Sus scrofa: one gene and its partners. The protein of the gene in region 3 interacts with the protein of the main gene of each other region in a pairwise test. Links are inferred from orthologs where the notes say so. Each region holds a gene or a part of one and is shown on either strand. Other genes may lie near its edges.

The links.
Region 1: the proteins of FXR2 (region 3) and PAF1 interact in binary tests that used the Homo sapiens proteins (3 or more experiments, as listed by UniProt). The two-hybrid records come from large-scale screens. The link is inferred for Sus scrofa from reciprocal best matches to the Homo sapiens genes FXR2 and PAF1.
Region 2: the proteins of FXR2 (region 3) and PSME3 interact in a two-hybrid assay, tested with the Homo sapiens proteins (2 studies listed by BioGRID and IntAct). The link is inferred for Sus scrofa from reciprocal best matches to the Homo sapiens genes FXR2 and PSME3.
Region 4: the proteins of FXR2 (region 3) and C2H1orf35 interact in binary tests that used the Homo sapiens proteins (3 or more experiments, as listed by UniProt). The two-hybrid records come from large-scale screens. The link is inferred for Sus scrofa from reciprocal best matches to the Homo sapiens genes FXR2 and C1orf35.
Region 5: the proteins of FXR2 (region 3) and RABAC1 interact in binary tests that used the Homo sapiens proteins (3 or more experiments, as listed by UniProt). The two-hybrid records come from large-scale screens. The link is inferred for Sus scrofa from reciprocal best matches to the Homo sapiens genes FXR2 and RABAC1.
Region 6: the proteins of FXR2 (region 3) and MORF4L1 interact in binary tests that used the Homo sapiens proteins (3 or more experiments, as listed by UniProt). The two-hybrid records come from large-scale screens. The link is inferred for Sus scrofa from reciprocal best matches to the Homo sapiens genes FXR2 and MORF4L1.
Region 7: the proteins of FXR2 (region 3) and FTH1 interact in binary tests that used the Homo sapiens proteins (3 or more experiments, as listed by UniProt). The link is inferred for Sus scrofa from reciprocal best matches to the Homo sapiens genes FXR2 and FTH1.

Annotation. Positions count from the first base shown.
Region 1 is NC_010448.4:48,045,987-48,050,112, forward strand, and holds the end of PAF1 (RNA polymerase II-associated factor 1 homolog), read right to left. Parts: intron 4,087-4,126; coding exon 3,985-4,086; intron 3,905-3,984; coding exon 3,799-3,904; intron 3,711-3,798; coding exon 3,454-3,710; intron 3,212-3,453; coding exon 3,095-3,211; intron 2,998-3,094; coding exon 2,869-2,997; intron 1,658-2,868; coding exon 1,552-1,657; intron 1,445-1,551; coding exon 1,354-1,444; intron 1,275-1,353; coding exon 859-1,274; 3' UTR 501-858; downstream 1-500. UniProt on the Homo sapiens protein: Component of the PAF1 complex (PAF1C) which has multiple functions during transcription by RNA polymerase II and is implicated in regulation of development and maintenance of embryonic stem cell pluripotency.
Region 2 is NC_010454.4:20,032,547-20,036,652, forward strand, and holds the start of PSME3 (proteasome activator complex subunit 3), read right to left. Parts: upstream 2,801-4,106; 5' UTR 2,800-2,800; coding exon 2,758-2,799; intron 2,265-2,757; exon of another isoform or gene 2,250-2,264; coding exon of another isoform or gene 2,175-2,249; intron 2,073-2,174; coding exon 2,040-2,072; intron 1,917-2,039; coding exon 1,854-1,916; intron 1,659-1,853; coding exon 1,554-1,658; intron 353-1,553; coding exon 304-352; intron 1-303. UniProt on the Homo sapiens protein: Subunit of the 11S REG-gamma (also called PA28-gamma) proteasome regulator, a doughnut-shaped homoheptamer which associates with the proteasome. 11S REG-gamma activates the trypsin-like catalytic subunit of the proteasome but inhibits the chymotrypsin-like and postglutamyl-preferring (PGPH) subunits.
Region 3 is NC_010454.4:52,893,258-52,896,757, forward strand, and holds part of FXR2 (fragile X mental retardation syndrome-related protein 2), read right to left. Parts: intron 2,275-3,500; 5' UTR 2,222-2,274; intron 1,872-2,221; 5' UTR 1,778-1,871; intron 1,360-1,777; 5' UTR 1,303-1,359; coding exon 1,288-1,302; intron 1,176-1,287; coding exon 1,027-1,175; intron 765-1,026; coding exon 671-764; intron 226-670; coding exon 109-225; intron 1-108. UniProt on the Homo sapiens protein: mRNA-binding protein that acts as a regulator of mRNAs translation and/or stability, and which is required for adult hippocampal neurogenesis. Specifically binds to AU-rich elements (AREs) in the 3'-UTR of target mRNAs.
Region 4 is NC_010444.4:51,238,526-51,242,791, forward strand, and holds C2H1orf35 (multiple myeloma tumor-associated protein 2), read right to left. Parts: upstream 2,801-4,266; 5' UTR 2,750-2,800; coding exon 2,656-2,749; intron 2,550-2,655; coding exon 2,399-2,549; intron 2,257-2,398; coding exon 2,211-2,256; intron 2,116-2,210; coding exon 2,036-2,115; intron 1,821-2,035; coding exon 1,748-1,820; intron 1,647-1,747; coding exon of another isoform or gene 1,582-1,646; coding exon 1,496-1,581; intron 903-1,495; coding exon 777-902; intron 692-776; coding exon 634-691; downstream 1-633.
Region 5 is NC_010448.4:49,932,210-49,936,238, reverse strand, and holds the start of RABAC1 (prenylated Rab acceptor protein 1), read right to left. Parts: upstream 2,801-4,029; 5' UTR 2,652-2,800; coding exon 2,596-2,651; intron 2,345-2,595; coding exon 2,132-2,344; intron 1,852-2,131; coding exon 1,754-1,851; intron 296-1,753; coding exon 194-295; intron 110-193; coding exon 21-109; 3' UTR 1-20. UniProt on the Homo sapiens protein: General Rab protein regulator required for vesicle formation from the Golgi complex. May control vesicle docking and fusion by mediating the action of Rab GTPases to the SNARE complexes.
Region 6 is NC_010449.5:48,048,786-48,052,910, reverse strand, and holds the start of MORF4L1 (mortality factor 4-like protein 1), read right to left. Parts: upstream 2,801-4,125; 5' UTR 2,635-2,800; coding exon 2,595-2,634; intron 1-2,594. UniProt on the Homo sapiens protein: Component of the NuA4 histone acetyltransferase (HAT) complex which is involved in transcriptional activation of select genes principally by acetylation of nucleosomal histones H4 and H2A.
Region 7 is NC_010444.4:9,533,701-9,537,850, reverse strand, and holds the start of FTH1 (ferritin heavy chain), read right to left. Parts: upstream 2,801-4,150; 5' UTR 2,511-2,800; coding exon 2,397-2,510; intron 880-2,396; coding exon 733-879; intron 419-732; coding exon 293-418; intron 195-292; coding exon 36-194; 3' UTR 1-35. UniProt on the Homo sapiens protein: Stores iron in a soluble, non-toxic, readily available form. Important for iron homeostasis. Has ferroxidase activity. Iron is taken up in the ferrous form and deposited as ferric hydroxides after oxidation. Also plays a role in delivery of iron to cells.

The DNA of each region.
Region 1 (4,126 bases), on a different chromosome or scaffold from region 3:
AGGTTTATTTATGTACCTCTTGCACACTCATCAACCTATGCAAGTCCCCCACCCCGGCCCCTCCATGTTTCTGTGCCTTTGCTCATTCCCCTCCAACTCCCAGGGCTTCCCCAGTCCTCCTCCCAGCCCAGGGAAGTGGGATGGACAGGGGCCACCTCGTTTGGAATCAGCAGGGTGTCCCTCTTAAGAGACCCTCACCTCCTCCCAGCAGTCCTGTCCTGTTCACTACCCATCAGAGTGAGCTGGGTCTGCCAGGCACTGGGAGGTGGTGAGGGGCACCCCCAAACACAGCGGGAGGCAAGAGCTGCTGCCCTCCCCACCACCTGACAGAGTGTGCAGGACGCAGGCGCCCCACTCTGATGGGCAGGATCCTGACCCACTCCCATCCCTCCCCAGCCCCTGGCCCCTCTGCCATGATTTCACCCTCCCTTTTATCCCTAGCCCCACTGGCAGAATCAGCTTTGAGTAACTGTACAGTTTTTCTCGCTGTTGGAGAAAACTTATTTGTTGGAGTTTCACTTGTTTAATGGTCTGGGCTTATTTTGGAAAAAAAGAAAAAACAAACAAACAAAAAGGATTCTGACCTTTGTTATGCTACATTTCATGGAAAACCTAGTGGCCCTACCTCTGTGGCCTTTGCTTCTGTGCCTTAAGCACCTGTGGGGGTGGGGGTGGGAGGAGGGGGCAGAAGGAGACTGTAGTGCCTGGGAGGGGAAGTAAAGGAAGGTGGCTTTATTAAACAGCAAAGGTTTGGAGGAGGAGAGAGAAACAAAGCAGAAAGCTTGCAAATAGACCACTTGAAAAGTGCCTTCCTGCGCGTAGTAATTGTACCTGCTCCAGCCCTGAAGGCCCTGGGACTCAGTCACTGTCACTGTCAGCTTCACTGGAATCCGAAGCTGCAGCTTCACTGCCATCCTCCTGAGCAGAATGCTCGCTGCCACTGGGGAAGGGACTGGCACTCCGGCTCCGGCTGTGGCTCCGGCTCCGCTGGCCACCCCCATCACTGCCACTGTCCGAATCATTGTCACTGCCTCGGGCCCGTCCTCTGTCCTCATCGTCAGAGTCAGCGTCATCCTCTGAATCAGCATCACTGCCGAAGATCTCTTCTTTGTCCCTGGCAGCCCGGGCCTCATCCTCACTGCTTTCATCCTCGCCGCTGCCGCTCTTGTCACTGGCCTCATCTCTGTCACCCTCCTCTCGTTCACTCTCACTGCCCGAGCGCTCATCCTCGCTGCCTTCCTTCTCACTGCTGCTGCCCTTCTCTCGTTCCTCATCTGTGAAAGGAGCATGAAGAAGTGAGACCCAGTTCTCGACCCTCCCCGGGCTCCCAGAGTTTGGCTGGTCCAGCTTTACCTGAGCCCCCAGCTTCTTTCTCTTCTGTCTCCATTTCCTCCTCCTCTTCCTCCTCTGGTTCGTGGTTCTCCAGCTGGGCCTTCCGTGCCTCCTGGAAGCAGCAGGGGTGAGGGGAAGGAGAGTGTTCTGTACACCTCCTCTCTCTCCTCACCAACCTTCACCCTCCCCGTGGGTGCCCTGGATCGTGGTGCTTGTTACCTGGGCTTCTAACTCCTTCTCATTCATGTCCCGATGTTTGACCACAAGCAGGGCATTGGTACCAGACTGAACCCCAGCCTTGGCCCGGCGCTTACTCAGGCGGACCCTGCAACGGTGGAGTTGGGGGAGAGGGATGTGGAAGAGATTCGGTTAAAGAACTCACCCCTGTGGGGAAGCTGGACTGACTTGGTTCTTCCTTACCCATCCTTACTCATTTACGCTTGGCCCAGAATAAATACAGACTGCATAAGGGAGGCTAAACTTGGGGACAGGGATGACAGCTCCCGAGATAGCAGTGTAGTTGCCCTGCGCTGTGTATGTGTGTGTATGTATGCCCTGTACATATACACGTAAGTGTATGAATAAATAGATTTTAGTGTGAATTAGGTATTAACATTTAGAATTTGGATTTCTGGCTTTTGGAAAATAAGACCCCACTCGGCCCTTGCTGCACCCCCTCCCCACAGCATAGCAGCAGTGGGCTGTGTCATGGTGCCCCTTGGAGGCTGCCAGGAGCTCCAAGTCATCTGGACCCCGATAGCCTACTGTGCTTTCTACCTTTCTTGCTTGGCTTAATGGGATCAAAATTTGTGATCTCTGCTTTAAATAGAAACTCAAGGTCATACTTTCCTTGCCAGTCTTTACACACCAAGGATCCCACCACAGCCGTTTTCGCCATCAGGGAAAACTTTTAGGTGGTCACATGTTGAACTTGGATATCTAGTGTTTCATTTAAAATAGCCATGCTCATTTTATGCATTACTCTATACTTCGGCTATGTTTACTTCCACGTGAAGTCTCTTACTAACATCAGGGGATACTTGGCAGTCTACCCTACGTGAACACTAAACATCTCCAGTATTAGTTAGGTAAAGATTTTCTTCCTGGAGTTCCTGTCATGGTGCAGTGGAAACAAATCTGACTAGGAACCATGAGGTTGCGGGTTCAATCCCTGGCCTCAGTGGATTAAAGATCCAGCATTGCCATGAGCTGTGGTATATAGGTCACAGATTCAGCTTGGATCTGGCATTGCTGTGGCTGTGGCACAGGCCGGCAGCTACAGCTCTGATTAGACCCCTAGCCTGGGAACCTCCATATGCCTCAGGTGCAGCCCTTTAAAAAAAAAAAATGTCTTCCTGGGTTCTTATGTTAGAACCAGGTCTAGCCCGCAAGGGTGATCAGGCTCCTGCTCTTACAAATGCACATGGCAAATCCTTAGGTACAAATGACCTCCGAGGTGGCACTTGCATACCCCAGGGTCCTGAATCTGAAGTACAAGCCCAGATAATCTCAGTGAGGTAGGACAGTGCTAAGTACCTGGTCTCCAATTCATTGTAGTAAACCCCATCCCCCTCTCGGAAGATGAAGAAGTAGTTTTCCTCGTAGCCCTTGCTGGCCTTGTTCTTCACATTCCAGTTGTACTCGCGAGCAATCTTGTAGTCATACCTAAGGATGAAGGGGACAGGGTCAGCCATTTCTTCCCTGTGAAGGAGAAAAAGAGACCTACTCCTTAACACCCCAAACCTAACTCCAACCCACATACACATCATCTGGCGCATAATCCATCTCCTCCTCCTGGTCCCGTTTTCGTTTCTTCAGGGTTTCTTCCACAGGCAGGAAGTAAGCCACAAACTGGTTCCCTTCCTCATCCATCATGCCCCTGGTTGGGAGGAAAAGAGGAGCAGCTAAAAACAAAGACAAAGATGGGCATCCTCTTGTGGTGTATCAGCAGCTAAGGATCTGGCATTGTCACTGCAGTGGGTTGGATCACTACTATGGTGTGGGTTCAGTCCCTGGCCAGGGAACTTCTTCGTGTCGCCCCCCCCCAAAAAAGAATGGGGGTGGGTGGGTGGGGAGGGGGCCAATAAGGAGCAGGCCAAGGTGAGCAGCAGGACCACTTACCTGATCATGGCCTGAGACATCATCTCCAATGCAGCTGCACCACTCGTGTCCTTTGGGGCTGGGTCTGAATCAAAGATCACCTGAGCACATGGGTTGATCCACATCTGGGGGATGGAGGGCACTGGGATTAGAATGGGACAGCCAGAGATCACAGGCGATCCCTCTCTGCCTCCTGCCCTGGATCTGACCTTAAAATCTGGAAAGACAGGCATGACCTCCACTGGTGTCACTCGAGGCTTGCTGTAATGCTGGGAGATCTGATAGGGGCAAAAGCAGGATGAGGAGTACACAGCACTCTGAAGCCACCCCGCTGACTGCCTCCCCCCATCCCAGTCCCTCAATTACAGATTTCTGGGCATCCTCAAAAGTCTTCTCAATAGCTGTGATCTGGCTATCCCTGTCTTTGTATATTTCTTCCTCAGTGAACTGCTGCTTCACAGAAACCCCAATCCTAGGAAGGAACAGAAAGGCCTTTAGGGACCACTAGACGCACCTGATATCTCCACCTTCCCTCCCTACCCACCAGCTTACTTGACCTCAGGCTTCTCATTGGAAATGCCGTAACGATTGAACTCCGTGGAGATATACTCTGTCTTCCGCATCCATGGCACCACCTTCGCATGCTGCTGGGATCTGGGATGGAAGGCTCAGGCACTTTAGGACCCCATCGCCC
Region 2 (4,106 bases), about 33 Mb from region 3:
TCGAAGATGCGGCTCAGACCTGGCATTGCTGTGACTGTGGTGTAGGCCAGCAGCAACAGCTCTGATCAGACCCCTAGCCCGGGAACCTCCATATGCCGTGAGTGCAGCCCTATAAAGACAAAAAAAGAGGAAAGGAAAATTAGGTTTAGAGTACTAGACAATGTCTGGAGAGCTTAGGAATGCTAATGCTAGGAAATAAAATCAGATCCTGCTTGCTGGACAGGAGAGCACCAGATCCATCCTGCTTCTCAGGGCTGCAAGCCAGGAAGGGTTGGGGTAGGGGACAGTGAAGGTGGCTCTTACCTTGGAAGGCCTCTTCACATTCATCCAACCTTCGCTTCTTGTAAGTGGGCTAAGGATACAAAGAGACAAGAATCAGCCTATTCGACACTCACATCCCCACTGCAAGTTACCCTTCTAGCAAGTTTAATCCCTACCTTGACTTCACAGGTTGTCTTATTAATTTACCCACAATTCACTAAGCACACACAAAGCTTTAAGAAAAGGTTCTTCCCACAAAGCAACTTACACTATAGTTGGAAAGACCAACTTTTCAAGAAATATAACACATTAGGCAACCAGGGGAGGGGTGGATACTATGAACAACAGAAAGAATGAACTACTGAATGCAGAGTGAGTATAACTAAGGGGATTATAAACAAATGTGCTTGTTCCACAAAGAATATTCAATCAACAAACATGTATTTAGCACTTGCAAGGAACAATGCTAGGTGCTGGGGATACAAAGATAATTCAGATAGTTTCTCCTTTCCAAAAGTGCAAGTTCTACCCATGAGACACCGACGGATAAATAACAATATATATAGCAGATAAATAACAATATGGGGTCATCATTGTTATAACAGAATGTGGACATATTCTAAAGACTAGTTGCTAAAGATACAGAAAGACGGGGAACTGCAGTTATATAGCAAGAACAATTGCCCCCTCCCATAACAAGACTCAAGACACTGAAACAGGGATGAAAAGTCTTGCCTAGAGCCATGGTGACAGACCAGGTAACCTGAGGGACCTTGTCACTATTAGCCCTATTTTCAACTCACTCTAACAGAGTACCCATTAACACATGCTACAAATGAAAACCGGGGACCGAAGGGGGTGTACCAAAGTCATATGTCTGTAAGAATCCTCATTCCGGGAGTTCCCGTCGTGGCGCAGTGGTTAACGAATCCGACTAGGAACCATGAGGTTGCGGGTTCGATCCCTGCCCTTGCTCAGTGGGTTAACGATCCGGCGTTGCCATGAGCTGTGGTGTAGGCTGCAGACGCGGCTTGGATCTCGCGTTGCTGTGGCTCTGGTGTAGGCCGGTGGCTACAGCTCTGATTCAACCCCTAGCCTGGGAACCTCCATATGCCGCGGGAGCGGCCCAAAGCAATAGCAAAAAGCCAAAAAAAAAAAAAAAAGAATCCTCATTCCCAGATCCAAATCCCACTGTCCCCTGTACCCCTGTACACGTTCAAGCTGACCAGAGACTTGAGGACAGAGCGCCTACTGCTTCGGCACACACACAGAGATAAATACAGGATACTTACACCGTCCAGTCCATCATGGCTATTGGTGAGAAGAATGGGGTCAGGGACTGGGAGATTCATGTCTGAGTGGATCTGAGTTAGGTCATGGATGTTTAGGATTGGCTCCTGAAAAGAGACGCCCACCCCCAAAACATCAGTCTTTTCAAAATGAACAAAGAAGTATTTCATTTCAAGGGCAACATATGAAGACGGCTTTACAGCACAAAACAAGATAGAATCAACACGTCATTTGTCCCATTTGACAGAAAGACCAGGGCCAAAAAAACTGGGGACTCTGAGGAAAAGAAAAGGGTCTCTCACCTTCAAAAAACTATCAAGTTCTAACAATTTCTTTGGGAAAAAATTTGCCACCAAGTCTTCTGCCTAAAGATGAGGGAAAATATAGCTGAATTAGTAACTGAGGGAAGGTCTGTCTCTACAGACATCTCTTCTCTGGAGAACTCCCAACCATTAACCAATGCTCGATTTTCTACTTCTTTCACTCACCTCACTTGTAATCCGCTCCCTGAAAGAATCAACCTAAAATTAACAAAGAAAGCAATTCAGTAAGAGCAAGTCAGTACCTGGCAAGAGAAGTATGGGCAGGATGGGGAAACCCAAATCCAACTGTCTTTCCCTCACCTTGTAATTGTAATGAGAAGCTGAGAGGCCCCCAGACTGCAAATACTTTATTTTTTTAAGGATCCATTTCTCCATCTCAGGAGAGGGAAGCGGGGCTGGAGGGCAGCACCCACCTGTCTTCCCTCCCTCCCTCCCTTTGTCTGTAGCTTGTCTGAATTTGAAAGCAGACAAAAGACAGGTAGATGGGAGAGGCGTGAGCTCACAAACATGTCAACCCCCATACAAACCTGGCCTAGGATGTGAGGCAGGCCTGACGCCAAGGGCAGGGGCAGTAGCAGCGCCCAGAGATGGGGACGTTGCTGGGCTGGGGGGACTTCCAGCTGTCACTGGCCTAAAGCACTAAGTCCACCACGTGTCCGCGGAAGTCTCCCCGGGGCTCTCCACCATTAGACAGGGTACAGAAGGCCACCCCATAGTAGCGTCTCCCCCGATGCCATCTCTGGGAGTGGGGGGCTGGGCTGAGCCGAGCGGAAGCTCAGGGCTGGTGTCCCCAGGGAGACAAAGACGCCATGGGGAGTAGGGAGCCAGTCAGACAGCTCGAGGATCGAAGCAAGGAGTAAGGAAGCCCGGACCGTACCCCTACCTTGAGCTTTACTTCCTGATCCACCTTCAGCAACGAGGCCATGGCCGGGCCGGGCCGTGTCCGCTCCGCTGGAGACCGGAGGCGCTGTGGGCTCCGGGGAGAGGGTCAGAGGGACGGGAGGAATCTCGGCTGCTCTCGGGACGCGGCCGCTCTCGCTGGCCCACTCACTGCTCACTTGCTCCCTCCCTTCGTGCCGTCCGTCCGCCCGCCTGCTGCCTGCTGCCTGCTCTCTCTCGCTCGCCCTCCCGGCTTTCGCCGCTCACACCGGAAGTTACGTCACAGCCAATCGCCGGGACTCCGAGAGGATGTGCACGTGCCCTGCGCAGCCGCGCTGAGGTTCGGCTCTGAACGATGGTAGCTCTGCTCCTATCTCTCGGCTCCTGTGCCCGATAAGGGTGAAGTAAAAGGGAGGGCAGCAGAGGGTGGTGGAGTGAGATCGGAGTCTCAGAGAGACTCGAGGACCGTTTGCCTCTCTGTTATTCCGGCACTCACCTTCACCGAAGGGACCGTCGGAGGCGCTGCTGCCTGGAGTGGGGGACCCGACAGAAGACGCCGTCGCGCCCCGGTGACGTCGGCCCGAGGAAGCCGGTGGTACCCGCGCTGGGTTCGGGGCGTCTAGTCTCTGATTCCTGCTGTCTCCTCCTCTTGGTCCAAGCTCTCATGTTAGGTTGGAGCCTGATAGGAAACAAGTCCTGTTGTACCAGGCTTCCCCGCCTTTCTCTGCCATTTAGCCGCTTACTCCTAGACCTCAGAGATCAAGTGCCAGATGTATGGACAAATTGATGCCTGTAGTCTGGCGGTGCTTGTCCTAGGCTACACAGTGTTTACAGTATATCCAAGTCCAGAACTCACATCTCCTAACTTCTAGGGCAATGCTGTATCCATTTTCCTCGTGGAAGGCGGAGACTGTATTCCCCCCTACCCGACTTTTTGTCGCCCAGCCCCGCCCCCCACCCACCGGAGGCAGGTGGAAGTTCCTGGGCCTGGGATTGAACCCTGGAGACCGCAGGGAATGGAGCCTCTGTAGTAACAAGGCCAGATACTTAACCAGTTGCACACAGTGGGAACTCCCCAGGCTGTCTGTCTTAATTCACCCATTCATCTGTCTTATAGCATTGGTTATTTCGCACAACAAATCGGAGTAGGCTCTGGGACAGCAGTGTCTCAGAGGCTAGAAATATAATGTGAGTCACTTATGTAAGTTAAATCTTGTGAACTGGAGTTTCGCATTTACGGTTACTTGCCATCTGCCTCTACGTGGATTAAACCATGAGCCATGGCAGCTGCTGACCTGCAGAACCCACTAAGCAGAGCTCAGGGTGGAAACCAGGAGTGAGGCACTCTGTGCT
Region 3 (3,500 bases):
CCAGAAAGACCTTAATCTCTGTTCTGCAAACACAGGGGCATGGGTGGAGAATGGGGTGGGAGGGAGGAGAACACCACCACCCAGCAGTAAAAAGGGCTTAAAACTTACCTCTAGGTGCTTGGTAGCTTCCTCATTGCGGGACATGAGCAGCAGTTTGGTGCGCAGGCTTCGGAAATGCATATCCCCCAGCAGGGATGCCCGTTTCACAGGAGCTTCTGTGGTTGACTGGAAAGAAGACAATGGAAAGGCCATTAAAATGGACTGAATGCACATTGGAAGAGAGCCAGGAACTGGGAATCAGGATGCCTGAGTCTCTGAAAAAGAATGGATGTTAAGAAACAAATCGTGTCAGTCTCACAAGGACCTACTACATGGGCGCCTAAGGGAAGGATTTTAAGTAGCAAACACAGGTGAGAATCACATGTTTTTGAGAGTCCAAATATGCAAGAGAGGGTCCCTAGCCCAGACTGTAATACGATGGTCAGGTAGGAAAAAAACTAAGGTCACACGTGAGAAAGACTAAGGAAACATAGGCTAACCCGAGCCCACAAGGGTCTGGAGCTATACAGTCCTCTCTGCCAAATAAATATAAGCACATTTTAGCTCTTCCTTCTTGCAAAGGATTAAAAGGGGAGTGGGCTTAGGTGAAATTCAGGCAGAATAAACTCACCAGAATGAAGAGCTCACTATTTGTGATGTTGAGAAAGATACAGTTGGCTCCCAATGCTTTCTTGAACTCTTTATGGACATTTTCATTGGAGCAGCTGCAGGGAAAGAGGACAGTGCTCAGAGGGCAGAGTGCAGAGTTGAAGGTTCAGGGGAGAGAGAAAGAGGGGACTGAGAAAAATAAGAGGGACTTGAGTAAAAGAACAGGGATGAGGAAGCAGGGGAACTGGGAGCAAAAAGGGCTCTAGAGGGCCACGGGAACAACAAAGAACACTGAAACTGGAAGCAGCGCCTGGGAGAAACAAGGGCAGCGATGAGGACCATAAAGAGGCCCCCACTCCCAACATCCCCAACACTCACGCCTCTCTCAGATCCTCAGGCACAGCCATGGTCACCTTGAAGAAGCTGCCTTTGGTTGCAAGGGGATTGGGATTAACTGGCCGAAGCCGTTCCAGGGTGACAATCTCATTGTAAGTGGCATCACAGGCAGCATATTCAATGACATAGAACTGGCAGGAGGAAGAAGAGAAAGAAACTATGGATGACCTGAGTCTCCATCTCCCACCTTTCTTCCCCTAAAATGGGTTTGGTAGCTCTGCAAAGACCTTCACAACCACTCACATCTCCCTTCATCATCCGCACTCGGGCCAGCCACCAGCCGCAAGGTTCTTGCTCATTGGCTCGAGAATAAACCTGAAGAGAAGAGAAGTTCAAAATAAAAGAGAATTGAGGACCATCCAAAAACATCAAGAATGGAGTAAACATTAAGACACGTGAGAGGCATCCTAAACTAAGATAAAGGAAACCAGAGGAAGGAGCTGCTAATTAAAATCAGAGGGCTCTGGACTTTAGATGCTGTTGTTATACAGAGAGAACTGAATCCCCTGAAACTGGGAAGCTCCCTGAGAGCTTGGCTGCATCACACAGTGACGGACAGAGAACTGCTGCATTTCACTCTCCCACAGGCTGCCCAGCTCAATGAAGCAGCTTAGCTTAGGAAGGAAGGAGAGTGAGCCACAGTGGCGGGGCCAGGATACCGGCATCAGGATAAGGGAGATGCAGAATCCTGGGAAAAGCGACATTTAGCAAGGGAGGACGCCATGGTCCTTACCTCCACCTCATCCCCTTCTGTAATCTCCTTATTATAGTCAGCTGGCGGTGGTAGCCGGACGTCCCCAAAAGGAATCTGTCTCTCACTCTGCCAGCTGCAAGGGAAACGGTGATACGAAAGCTATTCAGGCTCTGCACTTGTCCATTTCTTCAGGAAGAGGCTACTTCCTCCACTGTGCATTTTCTACCCTCCCTGGTGATTAGGCGCTAAACCCCAGGCCCTCCTCCATAATGGTGTCTCTCATCTCTTGCGAGAACCTAAATACTGAGTCAAATGCCCCCCGATCCTCACATTTCGGCCCTTTCCTCTCCTGTGATCCAGAGAAGTTGCCCACCCAAACCCTTGGCTCTCCCCCACCTATTACATGCCTCATGGGATTCAGCCGCCCCCGCTTCTCCACTCTCCTTCTAGGACCTACTGGATTCTCTATTCCCAAGGTCTTACTTGTTTTCAAAGAAGATGGTGACAGAGTCTTCATGGACATCCTTCACAAAGCCCTAGAATGGATTTGAGAACAATGAAAAAAAAGAAAAAGAAAATGACAATTTACCACAACCTCAGCTATGAAGGGAACAGACACTTTTGGAATTTTAGACTGGGACACAAGCAATCTAAAAGCAGGGACAAAAAAGCTGTATTGGGGAAGGAATGTGAATGTTGAAGTTGCAAAAAAAGAAATAATATTCCACGAAAAAAGATGTGGCAAAATCCAGTAAGTTGAGAGAGAAATTAAGTAGAAGGGAGAAACATCACCTACATCACAACAGCCTGGAAACTAGTGGACTCCTATGGCTCCCACAGGGGCCTCCATATCTGTCTGCCTCCTGCTGTGCTGAGCAGCTTGCCAGAGTTCAATTAAAATACCAACAACATTCAGCAAAGCTAAGAATATCCCATGAGACAGTGTGAGGCTGCCCTGGAACACCTAAAGGACATCAGGATCTGCCAAGAGAAAAGGGTCTAGCTCCCTAACACAGCAAACTTGGTGGCTAGAAGACTGGGTCCTAAGGAGATAATCGCAACACTGGAGAAGTTCAAAATGAACACAATTTATGGCAGGAAAAAATAGAATTTAAAAGATGTGAGGGAGTCAGACCATAACATGGGGTTTAGCATGTTCGACTAGAGTCCCTCTCCCCTGCAAATAAAATCACTTTTATGTTTAAAAAAAAAAAAAAAAAAAAAAAAAAAAAAAAAAAAGATGTGAGACTTGGACACTGCTAAGAAACTGGAAAGGAATTCCTACTGTAGCACATCGGGATCAGCTCAGCAGTGTCTCTGGAGCCCTGGGACACAGGTTCAATTACCGGCCCAGCACGAGGATCTGGCTTTGCAGCTAAGGCTGCAACTGTGGCTGGGATCTGATCCCTGGCCCAGGAACTCTGTGTGCTTCAGGCAGCCAAAAAAGGAAAAAAATAAAAAGAAACTGAAACAACACCAAACTTGAGATCATGACAAGAGAAGGAACAGGGATGACTGAATAGCTGGTCTACCTATTTTCTATGACTCACTGAGGAAGCCAAAGCTATCCATTTAATCCTATATTCCCAATTTTGCTACAGTCTCTCTTTATTTTTCAAAAACTCAAAATTAGAGATTGCTTATTTTGATAAAGTCCAATTTATCAATATGCTCTTTTGTTAACTGAGCTTAACGCCACAGCCACAGCAACACAAGATCCAAGCTATGTCTGCAACCTAGGACCAAAGATTGTGGCAACACC
Region 4 (4,266 bases), on a different chromosome or scaffold from region 3:
CCCTTTGACCCGTGTGGCCTCCTTCTGGCCACACATGACCCAGGGCTCTTGGTCAATATGAGACTCCGAGATGCTGACCACCAAAAGGACAGTGCCCTTCCCAGTGGGATCACAGGTAGCCTTGCTAGAACCCAAGAGATCACATCTTCACACATCACTTTTTTTTTTTTTTTTTTGTCTTTTTTTTTTTTTGCTATCTCTTTGGGCCGCTCCTGCAGCATATGGAGGTTCCCAGGCTAGGGGTCGAATCCGGAGTTGTAGCCACTGGCCTAAGCCAGAGCCACAGCAACGCGGGATCCAAACCGCATCTGCAACCTACACCACAGCTCACGGCAACGCCAGATCGTTAACCCACTGAGCAAGGGCAGGGACCGAACCCGCAACCTCATGGTTCCTAGTTGGATTTGTTAACCACTGCGCCACGACGGGAACTCCCACACATCACTTTCTATTATGACATATGATAGCAACCTTCCCTTTAGTATGAAACACTTTCCACTTAAAATAAGTTTATTTACGTACAAAGAGTGAGTCAATACAAAGAAAAATAAAAGCAGCCGTAGTAGGCCACAGTTAAGCCTCTTTCGAGGCCTGGGGTGATCCCCATAGGCTAGCCCTTCAGATCTCTGGATCTCAGTTGCTGTCCTGCCGGCGCTTCCTCTTGCAACAAGGCGAGGAGTTGGGATCATGCCTAGGGAGACCGGGGGACACCTGGCTTGAGGGCCCCTGCCTGCCCAGTACTCCCCGCCTCTTTACCCCCAGGCAGCTGCACCTACTGGATGGAAGAAGGGGACAGTGAGGAATGTGACCCCCTCCCATGCTCCTTTTCTTTCTTTCTCTTCTCTTTCTTGTGTTTTTTCTTCTTTTTCTTCTCTTTCTTGCTCTTCCTGTGGCTCTCAGGGCTGCAAGGGGACACAAAGTGCCAGTGCCTCTGGGGCTTTGGAATCTAGCCAGGGATGGGGCTGCTGCAGTAGCCACTAACCATGTGTAGCCATTTCAACCTGAAGTCACTAAGGGCAACTCCTCAGTACCACCTGTAGCCAGCAACTACCACGGTCGGGGGCACAGACCCTTACTTGCATTCCAATCGTGGCAGAAAATCTGACGATCTCATGGCCCCTTTCCAACCCTCCCACTGCGATTTTCCCCACTCCCACTCCACCCTGCACTCTTGGGGCCAAATTGTGATCCCCTCCTGTGCCACTCACACCCCTCGCTGGGCAGCTAAAGCAACGGGAAGGGGAAGTGGTTCACCACCCCACCCGCCCCAGACCCCGGAAAGTGACTCATGTCTGAACATTCTCTTGGGCCCCTGATCCCACTGAGGAGTCAGGGGGCAAGTGGAACCGCCCCAGGGCTCACAACCTCCAGCGGCTCCCCCCCAAAAAAAGGCTGGAGCTAGGAATTTTACTGTCTGGTGGAGCAAACAACATGCAGAGCGAACCGAGTTCTGTGTCCTAGTAGCACGGGTAGGGTCCACTTATCCAGCCCTTACCCTGGCTCCACCTTCTCCTCTGACCGAGGCTTCCTCTTGGCCGAAGCCAGGGAGACCCCTGGCCGACTGCTCTCCACGCGGTGGTGCTGCCAAGAAAAGCCACTCTGGGGGTGTGCGGGCCTGAGAACCATCCAGAAAGCCAGTAGGGTCCCTTCGAGGGGAGACGATTTGCCCCACGGCTTTCAACAGGAAGGGACACTCATCCCCACCCCCACCCCAACATGGGATAACCAGGATGTCGGGAGGAATTACCGTGAACACCGAAAGCCCCAGTTTAGCGGCCTCTTTGTCTTCCCGTGACAGCGCCACTCGCCCTGCAGAGCCACTGCGGGGACGCGGGTGGGGACCCCCCCCCACAGTGAGACACCCTCTCCCGACAGCGAGGACCACCCCATCCCCACCCGTAGGCCTCCCTAGAGAAGTGATGAGTTCAGACGACCCATAACGGCTTCCACCTGGGCGGCTGACAGCGCCGAACCCCGGGGAATTGCACCCTCGCGATTTCTGGGGTCCCCGAGGACCACCTCCCCAGCCCCGCACCTGGAGCTGCCCAGGCCCAGGAGCCGGTCCACTCCCTTCTCGGGGTCACTTCCTTCCCGCTTACAGACTTCGACAAAGTCCTGTGGGTGGGGGGGAGTGCAAGCGCTCACCACAGCGTGGGGTCTGCCCCCCCGCCCCATCCCGCCCCCGTCCTCCAAGAGGGCCCACCTCTCACCTCCTTGCTCAGGCCCGTGGGCTGCTTCCTTACGTTCTTGTAGCCTCTGCGGGGGCCGCGCGTGAGCTTCAGAGAGTGGCGGGCCTCTCCTCGGCCCGCGCCCCCGCCCCCGCCCAGCCCCGGTCTCCGCCCTACCCCCAACCAGGAGGTAATTCCCCCCCGCCCCCAAGCTCCCGAGGCTCACTCACAACGCTGCCATAAGCGCTTCCTGCTCCGCCTGCCTCACGGCCTCCAGCTCCTGTTCCCGGCTCAACCCCGCGCCGTGCGCCCGGCCCTTGGCGTACCAGGTGAGGTCACGGCCCTTCTGCCAGCGGCCCACCGGGGCCATCAGCGAGTTGCCTGCGGGATACCGAGCGCCGAGTCCTCGGTACGGCGCTGCAGGTTGGCGTACCTCCAGCCCGAGAGACACCCCCGCCGCCACCCTGGGTCCCGGCACCCCGCTCACCCAGGTAGTTCTCCCTCTGTTTGTCAGTCTTCACATCCTCCCAGCTAAACTGATCCTGCCCACCGCGCACTCCACCCCGGCTGGAGCCGAACATGGTGCCGGCTTCCCGCTACCCAGGCCCCACCGGCCCCCGTTTCCACCCCGCGTCGCACGCAGTGACGTCATGCGCGCTTGCACCGCCCCCGCCTGCCTCTAACGCCTGCGCACTGCTGTGGCCCTGGCCAAAGTCGGAGGCTGCGGCAGATACCGCCGCATTATTGGAAGCCACTGTCGTGGGTCACAGGTAATGAAAGGGACTAGTATCCATGAGGCCATGGGTTTGATCCTTGGACCGGATCTGTGGGTTAAGGATCCGGTGTGGCCATGAGCTGCTCGCAGAACCGGCTCGGATCTGGTGTGGGTGAGGCTGTGGCTGTGGCATAGACCCGGCAGCTGCAGCTCCTGCTAGACGCCTAGCCTGGGAACTTCCGTATGCTGTGGGTCCGGCCCTAAAAAATAAATTCGAGTCACGTTGTGTGGGTGACACCCCCGAGTCATCGTTGCTAGTGTGTGCTGTTTCTGGCCCTGTGCTGGGGAGAGGGGTAGGCACTGGGGGAGACTATGTCTGAAACTGTTTCCCTACTATAGCTTCCCTACCTTATAAACCGGGAGCCACCAAGGTCAGGTTGCACCTGCACTGGCCTGTTCTCCACCCTTGGGGATACCAGCTGTGTGGCTCCCAAAAAAGTATGGAAGCACACCTCATTGCACTCATACCTCAAAGAGCACAGAAAATGCCTCAGTCACCCTCAAGGTGTTCACTGGCAGACGATCCTCATTCAACAGTTTTGGTCTTTGCTGCTCAGTATCTATAGTAAGCTAGTTGTTGGGCAAGGGTGTTCGGTTTGTCATCACTGCAGACCAGAATAGATTCAGTCATAAGAGGTCCTAATGAGCAGAGAGGAGTGCCACTCCATTGGCCAACTCCTACTGAACTGAAACCATAAGATGAATGTACTGAGGAATTTACACGGTGCCACACATGTTATCTGTATCCCTTCAGTACTGGTCCTCTCACAAGACATGGCCCTCCTGCAGGTTGCTCAGTGAGTTCATCTGATAATGGGGGGGGGGGGTGAGGTCTTTCACCTTGCTCTCCCTCACCTGCCTCACTGCTTAAGGGCGTTCTTGAGCAAAGATGAGGAGGTCAGCAGGGCCTGGAAGTGCATAGCCACACATTGCTGGGATGGATTGGGGTGGGAGGATGTCCCTGTGCAGCCGCACAGAATGGTGAGTGGACCAGAAGGGGTCAGGAGTGGGGGAGGTTCATCTCCCACAGGCTGTTGGCTCCTACCTACTGGGTCAGGCCCAGAACACCTTCCCCACCATATACTATGACTGAACTTCAGGTATATAAGAAAGAGCCTGACAGCCAAATTCCAGTCCCCACCATCTACCATGACTGGAACTCAGGTTTATGGGAAAGAGCCTGACAGCCAAATTCCTATAATCAAACCCCAGGAGCTCCAGGCCTGGGCCAGGTCAGCTGCCTTAAAAAGGCTGGAAATTGCCCCTTCAGGTTTTACAGAAAGGCAGCAGTCAATTGGAAGGCCTAACAGATTGCAGCTGCAA
Region 5 (4,029 bases), on a different chromosome or scaffold from region 3:
GACATGTCCTTGAAGACACCTCACACAGGTTCCATCTGCAGCTCCTCCCCGTCCACAGCCTCTATCTGGTGGAAGGCGGCGTGGGAGCCGATGACCACGAGGGTGGCTCCTGGGGGAAAACGGGCAGCTCAGGGCCTGCTGCCTCCCCGGCCCCCACTGCCCACCGCGCCACCGAGACCCTGTACTCACTCACCTAGGACCCAGAAGACGGCGGATCCCGCGCCAGCCAGCCAGAAGAAGGGAAAGGAGACGCCCCCGGCCAGGGCATACTGATGGGCGGGGCTCACCTCTCGGCCTGGGGGGGCAGATGGCATTGGGACAGCTGTTCCACACCTGTCCCCTCTCCCAGAGTAACCCCCAAAATGCCTTATGCCAAGGCCCTCCAAGTCCGGCCCCAGCCATTTCCCCAGCGTCCCCACCCACTGTCCCCTGAAACAGTGCACCTTCCTCAGTAATCCCCCCCACCGCCCTCCACCCTTCAACTTTACTTCTGCTAGGAAGCTCCCAGACTCTCCCTCCCCAAACTACAGCTTTCCTGCTCCAACCTGCCCTCGCATAGACCTGGGTTTTCCAACTGGCATCCCAAAGGCCCAGGCTGACACCTAGACATGTTTTTTGAGTTTGCATATTATTCCACAATAATTTTTTTGCTTTTTAGGGCCGCACCCACAGCACATGGAAGTTTCCAGGCTAGGGGTCGAATCAGATCCACAGCCACAACAACGCGAGATCCGAGACACGTCTGCAACCTACACCACAGCTCACGGCAACACCAGATCCTTAACACCCTGAGCGAGGCCAGGGGTCGAACCCGCATCCTCGTGGAACCTAGTCAGGCTTGTTAACCGCTGAGCCACGATTTGTTGATTTGCTGCTGACATACAGACAGAATGATTTCACACAGCAATACAGTCGGCCCTCTGTATCCGCAGATGGGCACCCGTGGGTCACTGTACTACATCATTGCTACATCAGCAACTTGAGCATCCTCGGATTTGGGTATCCAAAATCTGGGGGCTCCTAGAAAAGCTGAGAGATGGCTGTATAGACATCTGGCTTCTTGTGGCAGATTGGAAAGTCAGACTTGCAAACCCTGGCGGCAGCAGTGGCTGAAGACAAGTTGTGACTATGCTCTGGACGCTCCCTCTGTGCCCTGTGCTCGCCTGACATGCTCCTCCACCCAGCCCACCCTTACCAGATACATAACTGGCAGGCTTCTGATGGATTCTGTCTTAGGTCTACCTGTTTCTTTGATTCCAACTCCCCCTTATCTCCACTCCAAACCTTGAGTTTCCCTTAGTTGGGAACTCAGGCCCTCTTTCTTCCCAGTGGTGCTTGGTGCCAGTCTAGGACCACATGAGCCACAGGCCTCAGCTTCCCTCTGAGAAGTCCCAAGATTTTTCTACTCCCATCCCAGGAAGCACGAAAGGGGGAGGACAGATTTAGGCTAGAGTAAAGTCGCCACCTGGCGTCCAATGTGGGTACTTGCAGCTGATGCTTTTGGCAGATGAGGGAGAGAGAAGGAGGAGGTTTAAAAGGCCAGCGGCTAGGTGGAGTGGTTCTTGGATATCTTCTGGGTTTGGGAAACAGCAATTTGGGGGGACTGAGAGTGGATAGGAGCATCAGGTGTGGGTATGGGGAATCTACTGTAGGTCTAGGATTGGGCAGACTTGGGTTCAAAAGGACTCAGGTTTGAGGTCTAAGGCTTGGATTCAAAGAGCCAGGATCAGAGGAGTTTGGGCAGATTTCTCACCAAACAGCACAAACTTGGACTGCAACGTGCGCAGATAGAGGATGTAACAGGCGCCAAAGAAGACAGCCAGAGCTACCAGCAGCATGGGCGATGTTACCCTGGAGGAGGGCAGGGAGGCACAGTCAGGCCGCTGGGGCTGCGTCAGACACGAAGGCCCTGACCTTCTACACCTGGGGACGTCCTTAGGACCACGCAAGTCTAGGTCATGTTTGGTCCCCCTGCATCCCAGCCAGGCTGATGGAGTAGGGACCTGGTCCTCTGGGGTAAAGATCCCACAGAGCTATCCCATGGGGACAGGGCCTGGCCAGTGCAGACATGGCAGCCTGGCGGGGGCGGGGCCTGGCTGAGGGGGGCTGTTCTGGCCAGAGAGACACTCACACGCAGTACAGGATGAGGCCCAGGAACACAAACACATAGTTGCTTTGGTAGTATTCCACGTTGCGTACGAGGCGCTGGCAAAGCTCGCCCAGGTTGCGGGGACGCGAAAAACGCCGCTGGTCCACGAAGGAGCCCCAGGGGCGGATGGTAGCACGGCGCCGCTCCAGCCACTCACGGCCCGCGCCAGAGGGAATCAGTTTCGGCAGCAGGGTCCTGGGGGGTGCGGGACCAGGTCAGCGGTAGACCGGGTTGGAGCCCGGACCCCCGAGCAAGAAGGGGGCCGAGGGGAGCGGGACTCCGGGGTTCTGGGGGGCGGGGGAGATATGGTCCAGGACTCCTGGATTCCAGGGGAGGAAGGGATTGAGCCGGGGCCAGGAGTCCGGATTCCTAACTCCCCAGGGATGAGGGGCGAGAAGCCATGACTCTCGGGTCTAGGTCAGGGGGGCTAGATTAGACTTGCTTACGTGGCGCTCAGCCCTTCCGCCTCGGCATCCTTCTGCTGGTCCTTCTCGGCCGCCATGTCTGTGTTGTGAGGGGAAGAACCGCTGTAACGAGGCTGGGGCCCTCCACACCCCACGGGCCCCGCCCGAAACCGGCCTCACTCGAAGTGGCCGGAGGGGACGTGGCGCCGTTCCGGCGCCGCTGGGGGCGGTAGGTTTGTCACGGAGTATTATGGGAGTTGTAGTCCTGACGATGTCGGGGAGAGTAGGCGCCCTGGTGGCTGCATGGCTCGAGGAGCACCTTGGGAGATGTAGTCGCGTAAAGCGACGTGGGTGCCTCGGGGGCATTGTGGGAGTTGTAGTTTCAAAGGTAGGACGTGCGAGGTCAGAGAAAGTGAGCTGTCAGGAGTCAGGGTGTCGGGGGAGTGTAAAGGCAGAAGACGTCGTGTACTACCCCGAGCAGTCTCTGTACAGTGGGGACTGTGTAGGGCTGTCATTCTGACTCTAAGGATATTAAAAAAAACCGTGATTAAACACTCAGATGTTCTGATTTATCAGATCTGGGGTGAGACCCATTCACTGGCTCTTTTTTTTTTTTTGTGGCAGGCAGGGAGTGGGGTGGGTGGGGACATGCTACGTTTTCTGGCTAAGGATCGAACCCTAGCCACAGCAGCAACCCTAGCACAGCAGTGACAGTGGGGGATCCTGAGCCACCAGGGAACTCATGGACCACATTTGAATAGTGAGACTGTAGAATATTTGTAGGAATCCATTCCATCCTTCTTCAAAGGCTAGTGAGGGGGCCATGGTTGCTGAAGGGGGTTATCTAAGATGGGGAGCAAAGCTCCCCCACAACTCTGGGCTCCTAAGGATGGATGGGTTAGGATTAGGACCTCAAGGATGCCCCTGCTATGGAGAGGGTAAAGGGAAGTAGGGGAAAGTAAAGGGGTGAGTTGTTTTTTTTTTTTTTTAATCTTTTTTTATTCCAGTTTTATTGAGGGGAATGAGGGATTTTAATTTTTAATTTTTATTTATTTATTTATTGTCATTTTAGGGCCACACCCGTGGCATGTGGAGGTTCCCAGGCTAGGGGTCGAATCAGAGCTGCAGCTGCTGGCCCACACCACAGCCACAGCAAGGCGGGATCCGAGGCACATCTGTGACCTACACCACAGCTCACAGCAACGCCAGACACTTAACCCACTGAGCAAGGCCAAGGATCAAATACGCGTCCCCATGGATACTTGTTGGGTTTGTTACCACTGAGCCATGATGGGAACTCTGAGAATTTTTAAAAGACGGAGTAGTTACAACTAAAAGAACTGGATTTCTTGGGTCAGAGGTCAAAATCCAGCCTGTGTTGATTTCATCAACTCCCTGTCTTCATTGGACAGTGAAGATCATCCTGGTTCCACACTCATGGGTTAAGGTTGGGTTGAATGATCCATGTGAAGTGCT
Region 6 (4,125 bases), on a different chromosome or scaffold from region 3:
CCCAATAGTATTCTTTACCTTAAGCTTTAACATTTCAAGTGAATGAGCAAATCCAGTACCAAAACATCACTCTGCTTAAAAACTGCTTTTGTAACATTTGTTGTGCCTTCACTAAGAAAAACTTTCAAGTTTAAAGGAATTGTAATAATTCATACTTCATTATTTCTGATAATTCATACTTTCTGTGTCTCGGTATAATTCTTAGTTCTAAAAGAACATTCCTTTTTCCTTACAAGATATTCTCTGAAAATTTGTTATAAATAACTAATCATAATTTCTTAAAGATAACTATACAACTCAACTTTGATGAGAGTAGAAAACATGTTTGGAAAGTGATGGTTAAGTGCAGAGTCTCTTAGGTAGCTTTCAAAACGTTAGATACTTGGTTCCTACTCTTCCCTAATTCATCACTATAGCAGGACATGGATTCTCCTTCACTGTTAGCCCCCCTCTCTCTAAAGCACTTCCTCCAGAATGCCATCCTTAACTGTCCCAAATATGGGTGATTTCTGCTTTGATATCCAACAGTGGGGATTAATTTTTTTCTTCCATGGACCTTTCACAAGTCTGTTAAGCCTAGAAGCCCTTCCCCAGAATTTTTCTCTAAATATGTAAAACAGTATTACAAAATTGTTCAACTGTATTGAAATAGTTATCAAAACATTTAAAATACCACATTCTATGGCAATATTAAGAGTCCTTAATGTAAACATTTAGCTGCTGATTCAATAACTACAATTCTGAAGTAATGAACAGCAAACATCTTAATGTATCTCCCACAACTGTAATGCTGGGATGTGAAAACATATAGCTAATACTATAAGTTTTTCATTTTGCTTTTTTTTTTGGGAGGGAGTCCTACATTCATAACTGAAATACTAAATTTTAGTTAAACAATAGAAAAACAACTTTTTCCCATCCAACTTTACGGATCATCTGAATTATAAACACTGACCCTAGATTAACAATCCCTGCTGCAGACCGAGAACAGACTTGTGGTTGCTAAAGCGGAGAAGAAAAGGAGTGGAATGGACTGGGAGTTGGAGATTAGTAGATGCAAACTACTACATTCAGAATGGATAAGCAACGAGACCCTACTGTATAACACAGAGAACTACTGGCACTCTCTTGGGATGGACCATGATGGAAGATAATATAAAAAAGGGTGTGTGTGTGTGTGTATATATATATATATATATATATATAATTGGGCTACTTTGCTGTACATCAGGAATTGGCACAACACTGTAATCAACCACACTTTAGTAATTTTAAGTAAAGGTAAAAAAAATTCGCAGCTAGAAAACATGTTTTTTAAAAAAGCAATCCATAAAGTCATACAGCTTTTCAAGGTGGTGAGAAAGCAGGTATTGAGAGTCAGTTATAACAGAAACGCCCTTGGAAAAACCTTAAATATTCCATAAAGCTATAATATACTTGGGTTTTGTGCATATGATTCTAAAAGTAATTGTAACGTCCATTAATGTTTGAAAATCCCTACAACAATATTTTTGCCTACACCTCGATATCTATGGTAACTACCACATACACCTATAGTAATGGAAGGGAAATCTGAAGTGTTCTTGCATGCCTTACAGAATTTTACTTCCATTTTAGCTGTCTCCACCTCAATATAAATTAACAGAAATGTTAAATATAAATATTAAAGAGCCGTCTTCCACTGGAAGTCAGGTTCTACCGTCAACCAAGACACGTCCATCAAAAACAAAAAAAACCTTTCCAATCACTGTTAATCAAACGTTACTGCAATGAGTCAAGCAGCTGCAGTATTTAAAAGACGACTACAAGCCAATAGGACTTATAAAGCAAAGGGATGCCTTCAAGGAACACAAAGCCGACCCAGACGCCCGCGGTTTTTCTCTTCTCCTTCTCCTGTCCCCACCCACCTCCCTGCGGAAAGCGCCGGAGAACCAGTTCGCGTACCGTGGCGGTGGAAGAAGGGGGCGCTGCATCTGCCCTAAAGCAGCGTCTGCGGCCGGGAGCCGGGGACCGAGGCGCCGGCGGCCATGATGGGGCGGCCATCTTGCAGCGGCCATTTTACAACGCAGTTCTCCCGCCCCAAGGCGCGAAGCCCACCCCACTGCAGCAGCCCGGCGGCTCCACCGAGTACGACCACCTCGGAGCTCGAGGCCTCCCGGGAGTGCCAGCTGTTGACCGCCCACGCCGCCTGGGGGCCCCGCGCCGGCGCCCGAAACCACTGCCGCTCCCTCCCCTCCCCCATGCCACATCACTTCCCCTAACGGCCGCCATGGCGCACCCATCGCCTCCCTACAATAGGCTACTTTCTCCGCGCTCGCTTCACAACAACAAACACTGCACTATGGCTTTGCCACGCAGCAGCGGATCCCTCTCCTACCCCAACGCCTGCATAATGCTTCCGCTTCACAAGGTGCTTTCTCCTCGTGACGCACCGAAATATCCTGCCGCAATGCGCTTTCCCTGCACAAAGCCTTGCCAGCCGCCTGATCCGAGCGCAGCCCTTACCACCCCCGGCCCACAAGCTTCAACTACCCCGAGCCCGCCTCCATCCCCTGCGCCGTTAGATGCCTTTTTTCCCACGGGCTCAGACTCACCCTCCTGGAATTTAGGCTTCGGGTCCTGCTTCGGCGCCATTTATAAGTGATTCGCCGCCGCCTCCTCCTCCTTCTCCCACCACCCCCGACTACCGCCCCCTACTCTCTACCCCACCCAACTTCGCGTCAGACGCGCCGTCAGGCACCGCCAACTCTACATCCTGGGCCCGATTTGCCAGCGCCCGCAGACCTCACAGCACAGCGACCCGCGCAGCCGCCGCCCTAGCCAACGGTTGCCTGCCGCGCACGCGCCCCTGCGACCGAGCCGCCCCAGGGCACGCCGGGAGTGGTAGTTCCAAGGCAGTTGAGGCGCCACGGGATGGGGGAGGGGCGTTGGCCTTTTCCCATCCCCCACCCCCTGCTGCTCTTCCCCACCCCCACCCGGGGACTGCCTGAGGTTTTTAAAGCCGGATTTGTTTTTGTGTGTTGCCAGGGCGAGAGGAAAGGAGGCCGTGCATCACGTGCGGTGAAAGAATGGGAAAGGCCCAGTTGCGGAGCCCCATGGGCAATAGAGGGCCACAATTATATGGGCTTTGAAATAGCCAGAAATAAAAGGCTGCCTCTGAAGCCTACTTTCAATAGCATCTGAGTAGTTTCTGCGTAGGAAATCTTCACGGCCAGCAATCTGGTCAGAAGTGGGTGGATAATGGAGACTGCGTCTATAAATTTCATTGTTTTAGCAAGCTCACTGCCAGTTTTTTTGGTGCGACTGATGGCTGTTTGTCGGCTCCTACTCCTCCCCTACTCCAGCCCGGGGCCTGCAGAAATGAGGACATAGAGGGAGACACCAGGCAGTCTTTTGTGATAATGGAGTTCAGTCCGCGGAGGGAGGCTAACGTGAATAATCACGACGTCGAGATTCTGCACTGGCCCTATTTGTACACATTCTTGCCACCTAATTTCTTTGAGCTATTATTGAATATACACACAACTTAAACGAATTTCCTTATGTCATTCCCTTGTTCGAAATGTCTGCAGTTTGCTCAGCCGCAAAATAGAATAATAGCACCTTTCCATTGGTTTACTGTGAGAATTTCATGGAAAGGCTTAGGATGGTTCTGAGCAGTGAATTAGTGTGCAGAAAACGTTAAGCAGGATGAATCCCAAAGTCTATAGCTTGGCATTTTAAGTCCTTCCACAAACAATCCCCAACCGTCTCCAGGCCTTAGACTTGTCTCCTTGCCTTTTCTAAACCCTCCCCTGAACATGCTACGCTCCCATCAATTCCAGACCTCTCTCCATTTATCTGACTCCAGTTTCTCCTTCAGTCTTCCTTTAGCACAGCCCCTTTGACCACAGAAACCCACAAAGAACCCTCCTTCCATTTGCACCATCTGGTTTCTATTACTCCCTAGGGTGTCTAAGAAAGGGGCAAGGGCTTCTTGGTGACTCCACCACCACACCAGAACTCTCAAGTACACTTCTTTTTTTTAACGTGTTGAGTACAAAATAGTTCAAAATTAAATAATTCCGAAAAGATTTTAATGTAAAAATGAAGGTAGTGAAAAGTCTCTTTCCCACCTCTTATTCT
Region 7 (4,150 bases), on a different chromosome or scaffold from region 3:
GGTCACCCCGTGTCTCCGGGAGGCCAGCTTAGGGCTTAGCTCTCACTGCTCCCCAGGGTGTGCTTGTCAAAGAGATACTCGGCCATGCCATACTCGGGGGCCCCCATCCTGTGCAAGTTGGTAATGTGGTCACCCAATTCTTTGATGGCTTTCACCTGCTCATCCAGGTAATGCGTCTCAATGAAGTCACACAACTGGAAAAGACAACGGGGAAGAGAGTTACTGGCGAGCCTTCCCAGGCCCCGAGGTAAATGACTTCCTCCTCCTCCTCCCAGGTTGCCTCAATACTCACGTGGGGGTCATTTTTGTCAGTGGCCAGTTTGTGCAGTTCCAGCAGGGACTGATTCACGTTTTTTTCCAAGTGCAGCGCACATTCCATGGCAGTCAGCCCATTCTCCCAGTCATCGCGCTCCGGTTTCTGAACGAGAAGGAGCCAAGTCAATGCACCTGCAGCCTCTACCTTTAAACCCAAGTCAGCAAGCACCTAACGTGTAAGCACTGTGCTTGGCGAAAGGAATATCCAAGCTTCCCCGACAACAGTTTCTATTTTACTATCCTTGCCCGTTACCATCTGCCCACTTTAGACGATAGGCCCACAACAGCACAAAAGCCACAAGCCACAAGCCCAACGTATCTGCGTCTTGATAAGAGCAACTGCTCAGGTCTGTGCCTTCTGCCACCTGAGGAGCGCCAGACACATCAGGCACGACAACCCTGGAATCTTTTGTTCACCTTGATATCCTGAAGGAAGATTCGGCCACCTCGTTGGTTCTGCAGCTTCATCAGTTTCTCAGCATGTTCCCTCTCCTCATGAGATTGATGAAGAAAGTATTTGGCAAAGTTCTTCAAAGCCACATCATCGCGGTCAAAATAGTATGACTGAAAAGTGAAAACAGGAGTCTGTGAGCCTAGGCTTCCTTTCTCAAAGCCCAGCAAGAAGGGGTCTGGGTCTAAGGAGATCAGAGCAGGCTGCGTTGCTGCATCGAACTAAACAGTCATTAGTTCTCACTCCTAAGGGCAAAAATGAAAAATGTTCACAAGGAGCATTTAGAATATCACAGGACTTGCCACCACCATGGAACATCCTCAGGATCTGTGTTAGAGCAAAGTTCTTTTTTCTTTTTTGGCCGCCTCTGGTCTGAGGAAGTTCCCGGGCCAGAGATCAGATGGGAGCCACAGCTGTGACCCTCATGAGAGTTGTGGCAGTGCTGGATCCCTAAAACCACTGTGCCAGGCCAGGGATGGAACCTAAGTCCCAACGCTCCAGACACACCGCCAACCCCATCGCGCCACAGCAGGAACTCCAAAGTTAAATTCTTACAGCCAGTGTCACATCTGGTCGAAGAGAGGAAAGTGGAGTATTTACTCCGCACTATTAGTGCTTCCTCCTTCTCCCTCCTTGATTAATCCATGTTAAAACATGAACTTGCCAGCTTACAGCCAGACCGATGCATTTCTAAAAGTACCCCACTAGGGAAGTAGACGGCTGTGGGCAACAATGTATATAAAGGCATAACAGTAGAAAGCAAAACTGGGTTCTTTTAGACCCTTGCTGGGTGTTCCTGAAATGGAAGGGCAGTCATAGAAATCCAGGCCAGTTCCAAACCCATCTGGTACCTGCCTATTCTTGGATGGTTTACGTAATGGTCAGACAATTCTACAACTCCTACCACACCGCCTAAAACCAGGAATTTGGAAAACTGACCCCTCTATGGAAAAAATGCCGGCCCTGTAACTGTGGATGGACTTTATCCAAGAACGAAGGGTTCGATTAGGCCCCAACCTTTAGACAAAAAGAATAAAGGAGGAGGTAGTCAGGCGCAAGGACGGGTGACTAAGACAACTGTGGCGGAAGGAGAGATTTCTAGAGATGTGCTTCAATTCAAGTGGGACTTGGCGATAAGCAGAGCAAACGGGTGGAGACGGCTGTTCGGGTGGTCAGCCCACTGGAGATAAAGCACTTCACACCAGCCCCCAGGGCTGCTATTCGACACCATTACCCAGCAGGCTCCGCCGTATTCTGGGGGATGGGAGCAGGACCTCTTCGCCTCCGCCCAGGATCACGTGATCGGATGCAGAGGACGGAATGGAAATGCGAAAATCCACCTTCCTAACTGCAGGATGGTACTGGCAGCAAGCGCGGCAAGGAAAAAAAAGGGGGAGGGGGGAGGGGGGTGGGCGGGCAGAGGCAGTCGGCCTACAAAGGGGCACTCCCAGGGGTCAGTCGGAAAGGGCCGACTCCTCGGAATTTCTGCGAAGTCCTGGGGGACCCGGAGCAGCCTCCATTTTCCAGAACCGCGCAGAGGCGGGAGGCGGGAGGCCCCGCCCGCTAGCCACACCCCGCCCCGCCGCCTCCGAGGCCGAGCCCGCCCCCCGCCGGCCAAGCCTGCGCTTACCATGGACAGGTAGACGTAGGAGGCATAGAGCTCCAGGTTGATCTGGCGGTTGATGGCCGCCTCCGAGTCCTGGTGGTAGTTCTGGCGCACCTGCGAGGAGCACGAGGTCGTCATGGCGGGAGGCTGAGGAGCGGTGGTGGCGGCAGCGGCGCGGGAGCGGTGGCGGTGGCCTTGGGGCGGTCCGAGGGCGCTGTGAAGAGGTGGCGAGGGCTGGCTCTGAGCGGCCGGCCGGGGCGGGTGACGAGCGCCGGGTTCCGTCCAAGCACTGTTGAAGCAGGAAACCGCAGCGACTCTCCGCGAAGACTGTGGCGCAGGTAGCGCTGGCCCGGCTCTTATATCGGCATCGGCCGTCCGCCCCGCCGCGGCCAATCACGCCGCCTGCCCGCCGCGCGGAGCCCCGCCCCTTCCGGTGGGTGCGGGCGGGGGTGGGGGGAGGCGCACTGGGATGGTGGGGGAGGGGAGGGAAGGGGTGGGGTGGCGAAGCCTGGGAGTCTTGGAACCCCGTCCCGCGCAGACGCCTTGAGGTGCGTTTCGTGGGATGAGAGAGACGACCTGAGCAAGGGCAGGAAGTCCAGCTCGGGGCTGTGACTCTATGACTCTCGGGGCTCTGACAGCCTGGGTTTTGCAACCGACGGGAAACCTTCCCTGGGGCGTCGAGGCTCTTGCAAGAGCCCAAGCGGGCACCCCGAGACTTATGGCCAAGGTCATGTTAAAAATCAGAGCGGTAGAGCTGCAGTTGCCACACTCCGAGGTGCCTGGTAATGCAAATAGGGAACCCGGAGAGTGAACGTGGGCCCGGAGTGAGGCAGAGGTCGGGCGGGGAAAGGGCCCTCTTTCAATTCCTCAAAACCTAGGAAGGGGCCCAAAGCAGGTGGGGTCGGGCCTCCTCCAGCTCTGGTGGCCCGGTCCGGCTTTGGCCGAAAGTGTACGTGGCTCCTCGTGCAGTTGCTACAACAAAGGCTGGGCGGGTCGTGTTTCCCCGAAAGACTGCCTTCCCGAGGGAGTCGTGAGCCACCAGGGTTCTGAGAAAATCGGCCGGTAGCTTACAACTCAGAGACCAAGGGGGTTAGAAAAGGAGGAAAGAAGCTGCTTGAATCTGAAAAGGATGCTGTGAGGCCATTTTGAAATGGCCGATCAAGCCCCAGGAGCTTCAGGCTCAGGCGGTTCTACAGGGAGCCACCCCCTGGGTTGTCCTTGGAGAGAAGCTGAAGGCGCGGAACATGAAGGACAGATGCCAGAGAACGTGGAGTGGCTGGGGCACTGTGTGTGGCTTGCAGCAGTGTCCCTGGCACTGAGTGGGTGCGAATTCGTGGGTGGCAGAACTGGAGCTAGGCAGACCCAATCTGCTGCCCCCAGGGTCCACGATTCTTAATCAGGCCCTTCAACACGTGGGTAGGGGACCTACCCAAGACCCTTTTCAGGATATTCACAAATGTCCAACTGTAAGCTGTACTTCTAAAAGCTTTACAACAAAAAATTAAAGGAACTTTACTAAAATAGGAAAACAAGTTGCTGGTGGAATTACAGCGATTTCTCTTGGGTCTTTATTCATTTCAAATGTACATATGTTACTTAAGGAAAAAAAATTTTAATGGGGCTAGGGCTGCAGACAAGAAATTAAGAAGGATGATGGGTGAATACCAAGGGTGCCTTACCCAGTCTGGGATAGGAGTTCAAGGAAGGCTGCCCTAAAGAGAGTGACATTTGAGGAGTTCCCGTTTTGGTGCAATGGCTAACGAATCCGACTAGGAACC